Linked DNA regions of Caenorhabditis elegans. The protein of the gene in region 1 interacts with the protein of each later gene in a pairwise test. Each region holds a gene or a part of one and is shown on either strand. Other genes may lie near its edges.

Region 1 (3,926 bases):
ATGATTTCTAATTGAAAAATCGACACTTCCGAACAAAATTCACACATTTCTAGGCTTGCTTGACCTACAGTAATATGTTAATTCGTGACAGTACCCACCAGCTGCTGCGGTGCACGCGTCTTTCCTTGTACACGCGCGAAAATTTTGCCTTTTCTTCAATTTAGGCCAATTTTTTTTCATTTCAGCTGTATTTTTTATCTAAAATCGACGTTTTTGTTTTCATCAATCGGATTTTTTTTGATTTTCCGAACAATTTACGGAATTTAACACCTTTTTTAATAGTTATTTGAAAGAAAACTACAGATTATCTTCGATTGAGCTTGAAAAACCGCGAGGAATACGTTTTAGTCTTTTCTAAAATTATATTTTGTTAAGTTTTCAAACAAACCAAATTTTCCAATCATCATTCATTTCTTGTGATCTGTTCAGCGTTTTGATGTTCCTTTTAAATCTTTGCCGAGGTAATGCCACCACTCTTTATTTGTTCGCTCATTCCTATTCACCATTTGTTCACCATTTCACCATTTTTCGCAAGAACAAACGACGCGCAGACAGTTATACAGTGTCCCTCATCACACGTTTGAATTTGCGAGCTTCTTCGGGTCCGGCCGACCTTCAACATGTTGCTTAGACGCTAATAAATCACTCCATTTGACAGTAGTTTGTTGGTTTTCACTGGTATACATTACTCGATAGAATCTATTTTTTAGCGCTCATCTTTGTAGAGGATGAGACACACAAATTTTCTGTTTTTTTCTCGCTTTTCTGTAAGGGCCTTTCTCATCGAAACTAGGCATCAGACGCCTTTCCAATGCGATTTCGGAGTTTTATCACCCATTTTCCATCAATCTGAAGATCATTTTAGGTGAATCTGTTCTTCGTAAACCGGCAGCACTTTAGTTCATTGGAGGCCTTCTTATCTGTCATTATGTTCCACTTTAGTGGTTATCTGAGCGAAAGCTATGTCTAAACTAAAATGCATAATTCAATTCTCTAGTTACCCAATCTTCCAAAATCTTGGTATTCAAATTATCTTGGTAGTGGTGCTCTCAACGTGAAATATTTTTCTTGGAGCACTGTTTGTTGGAATTATAAACAAAATTGTTGCGGTCTGATGTCACTGGGAAAGTGAGTATTGTCGGAATTTGCTCTTTATTTTTCTTTTTTATTAGCTGCAATATTCAGTTTCACATATATAAAGAAAGGCAATAAAAAGCCCTGACGCTTCACTGTGTTGCTGGAGATTCAACTTTTCGTCTTCATTTCCAATATATGGTCTGCAATGATCAAAACGATCATTCAAATTTTAGAAAAAAAAAGCGTCTCGGCTTTACATATGCCACGCGGCCTCCCACTCTCCCCATTATATTGTTTTATCGATAGGTCATTTCTTGCTTCTGCTTCACCTTTTCAAACCCATTTCTGTTTGTTTGTTGGCGTTAAATATTTCATGAATTAATCCTTTTCAGAATTACACAGTTTGTGCCAATCGTTGGGGGAAATTCTATAAAAGGATTAAGCACTTTGCCGCCCCCCCCCCCCTCGTTTGTCTCTTTAAAAGAAACATTTAAATTTTCAAACATTATACTACATCCTACGTTTTCTCCGTGAGACCATGCGTGGCACTAATCTGTTCCAATCCATTTTCATAGTTTCCCATTGCTTCCTTCCAAGAATTTCCGTCATTATTCCGAGCCATGAAAGGTAAATCACGTTTCAGTGTTCGAGTTTTTCTAGACAGGAAGAGGAAAACGTGTCGCCTCGTGTTCCCTTCCAATGAGTAATCGTTGTTTCCGAAAAGAAATGCTTCAAAGGGGAAAATCATGAAGACATGTAATTTTCGAAGAGAAAGTGGCGTGTAAAAGTTTATTCTTCAGCCTCAAACTTTTCACGTATCTTTTACTAGCCTATCACAACTACAACTAGTTTGATGACATGCCAAATATACATAATCCTGTTGAAAAGTGTCAAGAATGTCGTTGTTATCAAATTATTACCTCACGGAACAACAGTGCAAACACACTTGTTTCGAAATTTGTTCAAATAATGTTGCCTTTCGTGTTTGCTTTTTAATTTTCTTTAAACCGTTCAATAATACCGCCAAAAACAGTGATAAGGTTGTGCCCTCATAATCTTTCATCACTGAAACGTCGCACGTGATATTTTCATTTTCAGCTGTTCCTCTTCGACCTTCCCGAATGGTGAAGAAGCGCCAAAACTCCAAAAAGAGCCATAGGATCAATCAGCCTCCGGGCTCAACTAGTAAGTTTTGATTTCGTCTGAAAATTTAGAATTTATTTTTTTCAGAGGCTAAAACACCGCCGTTTTCCGATGGAAGCAGGCCTACAAGCCGACTGAGCAATCCATCCGATGTAGAGAATGCCGGGCACGCTGATGTTCCATCAAAGACGAAATGCAACGCACAAAAACCACAGGTGTTCGGAAACAAAAGCTCGCAATTGAACATAGCCGCTAAGCCAAGGAGTAATGGAGCACATTCGGTTAGTATTCAGCAATATTATTTTTTGTTGAAAAAATGGAGTAGCGTGAATGAGGATTTTGTTTCAAAAATCCAAAATCGCCTGAATTTCAGAAAAAAATACCACAAATGAAAGACGGAGAAAATCACAAAAGAATGAAAAAAGTTTAGCCAAATTTGAAAAATGGCGTTTTAAAAGTTCGATTTTTCTTCTTTGGCTTTTCTGAATTTGTGACTATTTTGGATTTTTTTTTGAAACAAAATCCTTTTTTACGCTACTCATCTTTTAATTCAGTCTCATATCCGAACATATGTGCTCTTTTTAGATATCTCCCGAGCCTAATGTCTCTGAGCGATGTGTTGATTCTCTTCCAGTGTCCTCTATTTCGTCAAGCCGTCTCGATGATACTGATGTTCACATTAGGGAAATGATATCTGAGTTTAGGCTAGTTTATTACCTCCAATACTTCAGAAATGATTGATATTGTTTCAGAGATGAGATTGGAGAAGAGACGACACGACTCAAGGCGATTGCTGATATCAACTACATGATTGGCAGTACAAGCTCGTTTTTCCAGCGCTTTACCATTCGTAAAAAGCTCCATTGTCAGTTTGCCTTTCTGTTAAATTTTGGTGTTAAAATGTTTTCTTTCAGCATATGGATTCCTTTCCGCCCTCGCAGCTCACGCCGATCGTTCCCCTCAAAGTAAAGCCATCGACGAAGAAGTAAATATGTATTTACAGTCAGAAAGTCGAGATGCTCGGATAATGGGGCTTCACGACGACAATAGCCAACCGATAGAGATTCTTACGCGAATTCTATCGAAAACTAGCGACCAGCAATGGGAGAACTTTGTAAGTTTATGGAAAATTGAGTAAAACATTATGGAGGTATGGGGAATTGAACCCCAGCCCTCTCCCATGCTAAGGGAGCGCTCTACCACTGAGCTATACCCCCGCATGTCATGTTGAGTGTTGAGGAAGAATGCGTACTGGAGGTCATAGTTTTCGTAAACTTCACATGAGAGACGCAGACATACCCGCGATAGTGTCTTCGGGTCTGATATAGATGAAACTATAATCTTTTTTTTGCAGATTGGTTTGCTGGAAACGATTGAAAAATCGACTGACATTGGTGCAAGTATTTCCGGGCTTCGTGTCTCCTGTTCTTCGAATGTTCTCACAAAAGATTCTGAAACTCAGACAGATGTGGTCCAGCGGAAATTGAACAAGGAAAGGAGGGAGCCTTCTCGAAATTTTCATGGTATTCCGGAAGAATCGGCAGTTTTTTGCGATTACTCGACATCCGATGATGAAAGCAAACTTAGCTCTCCGGATCCAACAACGCCAAATTCTATCGATTCGAACATTAATTTGAAGAAATGGATGACTGCAATGGATTTACCAGCGCAAAGTCAAATTGGAGGAAACCATGCGTTTTTTCAAT
Region 2 (3,747 bases), on another chromosome or scaffold:
AATCGGAATCTCCTATCTAATATTCATTTAAAAAAATGAATAAGTATTTTGCAGCTCACTCAAGATGGCATACGTCGAGAGCTTCTACATGGATGCTAGTTTGGAGAGCGACGCCGACGTTCTTCCAGCATCGGAGAGTGATATGTTTGAGGCACAATTCATTGCCGATGTCCCACTCGACGGCGACGCGATCATTCGTATCGTTGATTCACAACTCGCTTTTGAGCAACGCAACCACGTTGTGTCGGACTATTGCACCATGAAGGCCGCGGAGCTCGAGAAGAACCCGAATCAACTGACAATGAACAGCTCAGTTATGGACAATCAGCAATATTTTGCCCCGCCAAAAAGTGAATCGTCGCAATATGCATGGAACACGAATGATGTTGTCTCTTCTCATCATCAATATGCTGCTCAGAGCCCAAACATCTACACCAACGACTATCACACCAGTGAACCATCCGATTATGCCTATATATAACTTGATGGAATGAGTAAACATTTGTATTTTGGGTTTCTGTATTTACTCGTTATTCAGCCGCAAAATTAGAGAAATCTAGACTTTCGCGACGAGACCCAGCTTATCTATTTCAAGGTGGTCGTAGAATCGTTTAATTTAAGACTTCTCAATCCCTATTCACACATTAAAAAGCAAAACTACGATACTTGAATAGCATTAGTTCTGAAATAGAAAGATTAAAAGTAAAGAAAACCTCGATTCAAACGAGTATTTGAAAAAGGAGAATAGAGGGAAAAAAAAGTTTATCACAGGTTGGGCAAAGTTTCAATAAATATCGACAAGTGTTTGAGAAATAATTACAAGATGTCAAAAGGAATAAATATTGCAAATTTAATAGTCTTAATCAGCATCCGAGTCTGACAAATATTCAGCATACTCTTCTTCATTCACACGATCCTCTTTCATTGCTTTGTCTAGAAGAGCAGCGATATCAGCATCCTGGAATTATTTTTTCTATAGAAAACTTCTATAAAAAACAATATTTACTTTTGTCACATCACTCGGCAGCTTTTGATCTTGATTCCTTACAAATGGATTGGCTGACGAAGCGAGAAGAAGTCTCACACATTCCACGTGGCCTTTGTAGGCCGCTGCATGAAGAGGCGTATCACCGAGTTTGTTCTGAAAATTTAATTTTTAGAGATTCGTTACATGTGAAAGAATATTTCAACAAACCTGAACCGAAACTGCAACTTTTGGATCCTTCAACAACGTATCCACTGCTGGCGCGTGTCCACCATGTGAAGCCCAGTAAAGTGGTGTAGCTCCGGACTTATCGAGGGAGTTGACGGATACCCGCTCTCGAAGACATTCAGCCAGCATATCCATATTTCCACGTCGAGCAGCTTCATGTAGGGGATTCGGGAGCTCTTCCACATTCTCACTGATCACTGAAAAAATAAATATTGGAATTTCTAGAAATCTCGATGAACTCGGTGCAGTTTCGAATTATAAAAGAGGAGGAACGACGGTTTTGCAAAATTGAGATGCGGTTTGATGCATGGCCATTTAAAAATGATTTTGTACTAATGAACTGACGAAAAAAGTTCAAAAACAAGTAATTTAACTAAAAACTGTAAAACCATGTGAATTAATCTACGCTTCTCATCGAACCGCGCCGCAGCTTTGCAAAACATTCCTGATTGTGCTGTAAGTATTCACCATAATTAGCTGGAACCAATCCTTTTTTGCCTCCGATGCTTGCTTGGAACCAATCTTTGTTCGGCTGCTCGTCGCTGACGTACATTAGATCTCCTTCACTGAATGTCAGCTCTTGAGCCTGAATTTATTCAATAATTGGGTTGTTTTTTTCAAATTAAAGCTTACAGATCTGGCTTGAAAATCATAAAGTGCTCGATAAACTTTCACTCGTCCTGGCTTTGGAGCTGGTGGTGGTGGAGCCATTGGTCGAGCTGATGACATTCTGATAAATTTTAAAAATGTTGAAAAATTCATATTTCTAATCAGAACAATAATATTTTTAAAGTAGAATATATTCACCAAAACAAAGGTGTAAAAATTGAAGAATAAATTTTTTTGATCATTTGAAGTAGAAATCCGTTTATTAGCTATTTGACAGAGAAATTTAATACGTTGAGACCAGTTTGAAAAATGTACAAATATCGTAAGGAATTTATGGATAATAGAAAGTCAACGGTCCGCATCGTTCTTCTCGAATTCGACGAATGTGACGAAGGCACGGAATTGCTTTGGCAAATGATGGACGAAGACGGTCTTGGAGCATTGGTCGAATGTCGGTTTCTATGAAGAATAACGTTGTTGGAAGTCTCTTTCTTGCTTTCATTTCCTGAAAAATTATAGATTTATTTTCAATAAAACAAGTAAAACAAACTTACAAGTTCTCGCCAATTGTCCAAAACCTCCCTATCGCTCCTTGTCAGCTGTTTATTAGTTTTCCCCAGGATTTTGCTCTTTTTCATCAGGAAATCATCCATTTTGCTCACTATTTCATTCATCATTTCCAGCGTTAACCGGCCTAGTTGATACTTTGGAATTGTTTTGAATTCTTCATCCGTTATCTGTGGCACAATTCTGATATCATTTTCTTTCGGTTTAGACGATAATCCTTGTTCATTCGGTTCATTGGTTTCGACAAGAGCAGATGATTCTTTACTTTGAGGTACCAATTGTGATTTCACATCGACAATCGTGGAAGCTTCAACTTTGATTCCGAGAAAATCATTCAATTGACTTTTGGTGCAGTTCATACATGTTTCTTCACAGTTGTTTTCCAATTTTTGTTGATCAAAAGCTGCATCATCTAGTAACAACTTGATATTCTTCATTGTATTCAAGAGAGGGCTGATTGCTGAAAGAAGTGATAATGAAGAATGCGAGAAGTTGTGAAGAAAAGTAAACGTACTTGTTTCAAAATTGGGAATATTTTCTCGACATATGCGGAAATTTTCATCGGTCTCTTCGGTAATCCGATCAATAAACGATTCCATTCTGAAACAGGTAATGTTTTAATTTTTAATTTTTAATATGTTATGTTTTGTAGTATTAGAGATATGTTTAATGTATCAACAATTGAAATTGAATCAACGGAAAAGAGCCAAATTCGATAAAGTCTAATTTTAGGGAAAAAGGAAGCAGTGGCCGTTTCTGCTGGATTTAAGAAATAAAGAATGCAGTAGAGCAAGAAAAAAATCTGTTCCAATTTAATTAAGAAGTTATAGCTAATTAAAAAGATAAAACAATTAAATAAATAAAGACAAGACGGCAAGGAACGATGAGTCATATTCGCGCCGTTTTAATTCAGATATACTTCGAGAGGAGTACACATCCGTGGGCGATAGAGCAGCCACAGTTCGAATTTCTAGGCCACGACCATAAAAGCGAATTTTCAAATTTAGATTTTTATCTTTGTTAGAAACGTTTTTCTACAAAATAACATCATATTTATACCTAACCCAATGAAGATAAATGGAAGAAAAAGACGAATTTGATTTATTTATTGAAAAAGCTGAAGAAGTGGTTCGTCTTTTTGAAAATGGGCAGGACGTGAGTTAATTGATGCGATAACGCGTTATAACACTGAAAAATATTCAGTTTCTCTCATCTTTTAATTTTTCAGGTTCGCAACGAAGCAGAAAAATTGCTCAAAGATGCTCTTTCTGTTGACGCAGAATGTGTTCCGTCCACATGTGTAAAGCCAGATAAAATCTGCAAAATCTTAAATGTGAGTTGTTTTTATTTCAAAAGAG

Evidence for each region.
Region 2: the proteins of inft-2 (region 1) and Y106G6H.14 interact in a two-hybrid assay, tested with the Caenorhabditis elegans proteins (one large-scale study listed by BioGRID).

Annotation. Positions count from the first base shown.
Region 1 is NC_003283.11:13,000,144-13,004,069, forward strand, and holds the start of inft-2 (FH2 domain-containing protein), read left to right. Parts: upstream 1-2,172; 5' UTR 2,173-2,198; coding exon 2,199-2,262; intron 2,263-2,307; coding exon 2,308-2,501; intron 2,502-2,805; coding exon 2,806-2,924; intron 2,925-2,972; coding exon 2,973-3,085; intron 3,086-3,134; coding exon 3,135-3,334; intron 3,335-3,356; exon of another isoform or gene 3,357-3,443; intron 3,444-3,574; coding exon 3,575-3,926.
Region 2 is NC_003279.8:10,471,447-10,475,193, forward strand, and holds Y106G6H.14 (Osteoclast-stimulating factor 1), read right to left. Parts: upstream 1,944-3,747; 5' UTR 1,943-1,943; coding exon 1,847-1,942; intron 1,800-1,846; coding exon 1,682-1,799; intron 1,411-1,681; coding exon 1,196-1,410; intron 1,142-1,195; coding exon 1,007-1,141; intron 959-1,006; coding exon 860-958; 3' UTR 750-859; downstream 1-749. Other genes in the region: Y106G6H.13 (Reverse transcriptase domain-containing protein), read left to right, coding at 65-481; ska-1 (SKA complex subunit 1), read right to left, coding at 2,154-2,327, 2,377-2,849, 2,904-2,988; Y106G6H.16 (Dynein light chain), read left to right, coding at 3,467-3,544, 3,618-3,722.